Linked DNA regions of Mus musculus. The protein of the gene in region 1 interacts with the protein of each later gene in a biochemical or structural test. Links are inferred from orthologs where the notes say so. Each region holds a gene or a part of one and is shown on either strand. Other genes may lie near its edges.

Region 1 (4,246 bases):
TCCAGTTTCGTTCTTTTCTAAAGGACAGAGCAGAGCGGCCCAGCTTGATAGTGTGTGCCCACAGCCTATAATCCCAACACTCAGGAGGCAGGAGGATGGCTGCAAGTGTAGGGGGCATGCTGGTGTACGTAGTGAGTTTCCGGTTAATCAAAGCTATAGAGATCCGTCTCAAATGCATCCCAACCACCACCAAAAAGGGAGTGGGAGGGAGGAGTAGAAAGAGAGACACATACAGACAGACAGACTCCAGGTTTGTTCCTAGGCTGGCCAGAACTCCTTGGTCTTAAGGTCCTCTGCTTCAGCATTCCCAGCCACTGGGACCATGGGCATGCACATTCTATGTAGATCTCTGAGAAGGCCAAAACTGTTTGTGGTGATGGCTGTACAACTCTGAATACATCGATAACCACTGAACCCTTCAATCGGGTGATCACGTGTAGGGTGAAATATCAATAAAGCTGATAGAAATCAGACGGGGACAGAGAAAGCCACTCAGCCCCACACAGCCAGCACGAAGCTCAGTCAGAGAGGACCTAGTCACAGGATGGAGGAATCCACCATCTTGAGGCCCTGAACCTGATACCTATAGCGCAGCGGAGCAAAGGTGGCTGGGTCAGGAGTTGTTATGGAAAGGGCAACCCCCACCCCATGCCTATGGAGGCCAGTGCACAGACGGAGTAGGCTAGCCTGCCCAGGACTCCATTAAGAGACAAGCTGGTAGGCAGACACGACCATGCCCAGGACAAAGACCAGGGGCACAAGGAGGTAAGGATGCTCAGGACGGTGCGGAGTTATGCCAGGTGCCTTCCCGACTAACAGGTCAAAGTCTGAAGGGCCAATTAAATTCCCTGGCATTTTACAAGGTGTTAAAGGCATAACTGTCATAAGCCCTCAATTAAAGGTCAGCTCTAGGGCCAGGGCTAAAGTTGGGTGGAGAAGCTGTCTAGCAAGGCCCAGGGTGCTCTGGAGACCTAGTACCACAATCAGTTCTTCAACCCCACCTCTGCACTCTTCTACATCTGAAGCTCCCACAAAAGCTGCTTCTCCCTCCTTCAAACTTCTGGTGACAACCTTCTCAGTCAAACAGAGAAGCAGTGTTGACTCAGGGCCTGAACTGGTGACTCACTCTGGGTGAGCCAGCAGAGGCCTGACCCCTGGTGGACGCTGGGGGAGGGGGGTGGGGGGTGGGCTGTAAGTTCTGACTGTGAGGGTCTACTGGGTGGTGAGGACTTACTGGAGCTTGGGCTACTTACTGGCAAGGCCCAGGCAGTGCAGCCAGGGCAAACCACTAGGAAGGGCTAAAGCCTCTGCTTGCTTCACTGGGCACAACAGGGAATTCCTTCTCCCTGGCCACAAGTCCCCATCCCTCACACGGACCAAGAGGAAACAAAGGAACATACCAGGCCCAAACACCTCTGCAGTGACTGGGCACACACCCAGGAGGAGGGGCGGCTGGATTCCAGGCTCCTTAGCTCCAGGAAGCAAGCTAGGCGCTTGGATTTCCATTGACCCCATTGCAAATTTCCCTCAGGTGCCCAGGCCTTTCCTCAGATGTTGGCCTCTCAGCCCAGTCCTGAGGACTAGAGACCAATGCTGGAACCCGGCTGCTCAGCCTTACCAACTTCCTACAGGTCCTTGGACCCTCATAATTCCACTGGGTTCTGGAACCCCAGGCTCCCCAGGCCCACCAGCTTCCCCCAGGCCCTCATCATTCCACTAGATTCTAGAAGCAAAGTCCCCTTACCCCCACCAGCATCTCCCAGGCCTCAGGTCTACATTCTTTTCCCAGGTTCTGGTACTCTGACTACCACAGACCCATAATTATGCACTCTGACCTAGAACACCCCAAACCGACTTAGCACTTCATCCTGGGTTCCTGCTCTGAAACCCCACCCCTTTCTTTATGTCCAAAATTCCTAGGGCCTGTGTCCTAGGGCCCGCCCCCTCAGAGCCAGACCGGCTGTGCACCCCTAGCTACTCCACAAATGACGGGATGAACGGCTCAGCATTGGTGTCCGAAACCTCCGATCCTTGCCCAATACCCGGGGCTCCGACGTCCCCATCCAGACCCTGCGACCCGGGACTTTGAGCCTCCAATCCTGGCCCTACACCCCGAATCCCGAATCCCAGCGCCACACCACAACCCCAACCCCCCGATTTCGGACCCACACCGCGAACCCTTGGCCTTGACTCTGCACCCCGGTTCCCCCTCCTAGCACTGCACTCCAACCCCCGATCCTAGCCCTGCAGCCCGGGTCCCGACGCCCGACCCCAGCCACACACCCCAAGTCACAATCCCGGCCCCACACCGCGAACACCGGGTTTTGGCCTGGAATCCTGACTCAGGGGTCCCAGCCCTACACTCCGAGGCCTCGACCAACAGATCCTGGCCCTGCACCCCTGGGCCCCGACCCTGCCCCGCACTCGGATCACCTGGGCCCAGTCCAGACCCTGTACCCCAACCTCCCGTCCAGGCCCGGCACCCTGACAACTCATCATCCCACACCCTTCCTGTCCCCCAGCAGCTCTCTAGGACGCCCATCCCCCGCTCACCGCACCAGCAGGGTCCACCAGGCTCCCGCCGCGCCCCGCCGCTCCCTGTGCCCGCTCACTTCCGGTTCCGCGGAGGCGGGGCCGCATCCGGGGCCACGCAAGATCCCGCCCTATTCCAGGCCGTCCCCGCCCCGTATTCCTGTTAGCTGATCAAGAAAGCAGGATACACAGTTCCAGGACTCATAGGCAGCTCGGCCGCCAGTCAGCTGCGGAGATCCGATTTAGAAACACCCGTCAAGCCCTGTCCAACACACATTCACCCTCAACCCAGCTTCCAACCATGTATCCACCCTGCAACTCTCTACCCACGCATGGATCTACACAGCATCATTCACTCCCCTGTCAATCTTCTACCCACCAATCCACCAATCTGTCCTTCTGCCCATCTACCCATACACCCACTCATCTAGCCATACATCTGTTCATCCATTCTTCCATCTATCTGCTTCCTATTGTGATCAAAAAACTGAACCCTGTCTCGAAAAACAAACAAAACAAAACAAAACAAAAAGAACTGATCAAATACAGCTTGGGGAGAAAACTGCTTATTTGGCTCATAAATTATAGTCCATCACTGAGGGAAGGAAGTTAGAACAGGAACTCAGGCAGGGCAGGAACTGAAACAGAGACTATGAAGGAGTGCTGCATACTGGCTTGCTCAGCCTTTCTTTCACATCCCAGGTCTACCAGTGTAAGGGTGGCAACCCACAACGGTGGGTTGGGCCCTTCTGAATCAATCAGTAACCAAGAAAATGCCCCCACAGACTAGCCTACAGGCCAGTCTGATGGCAATTCATCAACTGAGGTTTCCTCTTCCAAGATTACTCTAGTGTCAAGTTGACAAAAACTAACCAACATGTCACCTATACACCCATGTGTCAACCATCCATCTACTTATCTATCCATCCACTCATCTATCTGTCCTAGTTGACATTAACTGTCAACTTGAAACAGCCTAGAATCACATTTTTTTTTAAAAAAATCTCAAATGTGTACTTGTCTTATTTAGGTTATTCTGTGGGCATGATTGTCTTGATACAGGAGGGCCAACCCACTGTGGTCCATCCCTAGACAGGTGTCCTGGACTGTATAACAAAGCTAGCTAATAAGGCAGCGGCCAAGTGGATCACTTAGAGGCCAGTCTGGTCCTGATCAGCCAAGTGAGGGATTCTGTCTCTCCTGCCCCCCTCTCCAGAAGGAGGAGGAGGAGAAAGGAGATGAAAGAGGGAGGTTAGGGATGTAATTCAGTGGTAGAGTGCCTGTCTAGTATGTACAGGGCCCTGGTACCAACCTTAGCACCACAAGGCAGAAAACAAAAGGCTAAACTGTCAAAATTTATGAATAGATCAGGAAGGAAAAAGAGATGTCAGGTGTCAGAGGAGAATGTTCCCATGTGTGTGTGCACAATTCACATGTAAGTGTGCATTCAACTGCATGAGCACACATACAGAGGTCCAAGGACACATTCTGGCATCTTCCTCAGGAAGGCCACTCACTGCTTGAGACAGGATCTCTCTGGCCTGCAGTTCATCCACTAGGCTAAGCTGGCTGGTCAGCAGGCCCCAGAGATCCTCCTGTCTTTGCTTCTCTGCTGAGGGGATTGCAAATGTGCACCACTCCACCCACCATCCTCTCATTGGTTCTGAGGATCACACTCAGTCCCTCATGCCTGCAGAGCAAACACCCAGCCATC
Region 2 (2,661 bases), on another chromosome or scaffold:
CATAGTACAGGCATGGCTTGTTAATTGAATCTTGCCTGACTTCTATCCTCAGTAGCTGTAGTATGTTGGTCACCATGGTCCTTTCACTCCTGAGCTGGATTGTTATTAACTTGAACATTACACTAACACAATGTTAACATAACAATTCTATACACTCATGTATAAAATATACTTAATTTTCAGTTTGCTAATCCAGATTTTACACAACCTATCTCAGAAGTTGTAGATGAAGTCATTCAGAATTGCCCCATTGATGTCCGGCGTCCTCTCTACAAGGTTAGTGTTTACAGCAAAAACTGGAGTTTTAAGTTTTCTTTTCATAATATTTAATAGCATATTTTAAAGCCTTTATTCTTGTTCATTGTTGAATATTAGAGAATTGTGTCTTAGAAAAGACACAATTGAATTCTTGTATATTTGTCTCTAGATTGCTTCTCTTTTAAAATAAAGATCATAATTTTTGGTTTTTTTTGTTTTTGTTTTCTACCACCACAGAACATTGTCCTCTCTGGTGGTTCAACCATGTTCAGGGACTTTGGACGTCGTTTGCAAAGAGATTTGAAGAGAACTGTAGATGCCAGGCTGAAGTTAAGCGAGGAGCTGAGTGGTGGTAGATTGAAGGTTGGTTTTCTCAACCATTGACAGAGAATGTGGAAGACCCCCTTGTTACTGCATTCTGGACAGGAATGTTTGCCAGCTCTCACTTAGGAGCATTAAGACAATCATGCCAGGCGTCCTGCTGGAAGGTAGCCACTATCCCTAGAATCATGGGTGCAGTTTGTTGCTTGGTACTTTGCTCTGGTTTGAGCTCTGTTGAGAAATGACAAAATGTCACAGCTCAGGCAGACTGCTTGTGCAAAAAAGGTTTTTATGTTTGCTTTCCTCCTCAACCAACCAATTCTTCTGACACTCACATAACTCCACTGTGTGAAAGGCTGACTTGTGTTTCACAGATATAGTTTTAAATCTGTGTAGCAGGGCCTGGTGAGATGCTTGTTGTACACACCCAGTGACCTGACCTGAGTTTGATCCCTAGAATCCATAGAAAGGTGAAAGGAAAGAAGCAACTCTCAGTGTTATCCTCTGTCCTCCTCAAGCATACCATGACACACACATAAAAGTTTAAATTCTGACTTAGGGGAATTCATACATTGATTATAAACACAAGGTATGGCTGTTGACCTAAGACATATTTCACCAGTTGATTTAAGAATGATCTGTCAAGCCAAAGGAAAACAGAATAAAATTAAAAACAGAAGAAAACAAAAACAATGTTATATTATTTAGTCAAGGAACATACATTCCTCTTTCTCTCTCTCTCTCTCTCTCTCTCCTCTCTCTCTCTCCCTCTCTCCCTCTCCCTCCCCCTCCCCCCTCCCTCCCTCTCTCTCTTCCTCCCTCCCTCCCTCCCTCCCTCCCTCCCTCCCTCCCTCTCTTCCTTCCTCCCTTCCTCCCTCCCTCCCTCCCTCCCTCCCTCCCTCCCTCCCTCCCTCCCTCCCTCCCTTCCTCCCTTCCTTCCTTCCATAATTTGGGGTGGTGTGTGTGTACACGCATGCACCTGTGTGCTTGCATTCACACATGTTGAGATCAAAGGATAACTTGAATGAGTTGGTTTGATCCTTTTACCATGTGGGTGGGTCCTGTGGGCAAACTCAGATTGATAACAAATGCCTTTTAACACTGAGCCATCTTGCTGGCCTATTCTCCAGTTAAGGAGCTCTAGGAAGCTTCACTTTGCTCACTGTTTCCTAGCCTGGACATATTTGAAGAGTTCAGGCTGTGTATTTTCTGAACTTTGTCTTGGTATGGGTCTGTTTGGTGTTCCTTCTGGGTGGGTGTAGTTTGTGCTTTGACAGTCACATCACAGAAGCGTTTTCATGTCAGTTTTACTGCGTTTTGTCAGAGAATGCATTGACTTTAACTGCTTGGTAGAGGCTTCCTGCCAGTTTTCTTCTGTGTATAGCCTGTTACCTTTGCATTCCCATGTGTAGAAACTTAAGAGGAGGCTGTCAGGCCATATAGCTGTTCTGTGCTTCATGAGACTTTTCAACCAGCAGTTTTAACATTCATTCTTGTTTTCCTGAAATAGTTGTGGCTGAGGTAGTTGCCAAAAGTACAGTTAACTTGTTCCTGTTTGTGGCTGAAGTAGTTGCCAAAAATAGAGTTAGTTTCTGTCTGCCCTGGTTTTGCCCCATGCATGTCTCCTTATATGTATTTGATTTATATGTTTAGTATTTAATTATACATGATTTATGGAGTACAGTGTGATAATTTGATACATGTATGCAAGTTGTAAGATCAAAGCAAGGTAATAGCATTTCAGTTTCTTTAAACACGCATCATTGTATTTGGAGCCTCTCAACTCCGGTGTGGTAGGGCAAATACTGGTGCTATGCTGTGTGTACTGACAAGTGTGGTCATCTTCATCTGCTGTTCCATCACACCCACTCTAGATAATCTCAGGTCCTGAGTTCTGTCCCTTGGACTTTATAATTATTATTTTTGTGTATGCGCATTTAAACTTAATTGATTGAGAAATTGGTATTTGAATTTACTGTTACTTTGTTACTTTTTAGCCCAAGCCTATTGATGTACAAGTTATTACACACCATATGCAGCGGTATGCAGTCTGGTTTGGAGGGTCAATGCTGGCTTCCACGG

The links.
Region 2: the proteins of Cttn (region 1) and Actr3 form a complex in vitro, tested with the Homo sapiens proteins (3 studies listed by BioGRID). The link is inferred for Mus musculus from reciprocal best matches to the Homo sapiens genes CTTN and ACTR3.

Annotation. Positions count from the first base shown.
Region 1 is NC_000073.6:144,468,136-144,472,381, forward strand, and holds the start of Cttn (src substrate cortactin), read right to left. Parts: upstream 2,801-4,246; 5' UTR 2,554-2,800; intron 1-2,553.
Region 2 is NC_000067.6:125,395,067-125,397,727, reverse strand, and holds part of Actr3 (actin-related protein 3), read left to right. Parts: intron 1-183; coding exon 184-276; intron 277-495; coding exon 496-621; intron 622-2,576; coding exon 2,577-2,660; intron 2,661-2,661. UniProt on the Homo sapiens protein: ATP-binding component of the Arp2/3 complex, a multiprotein complex that mediates actin polymerization upon stimulation by nucleation-promoting factor (NPF).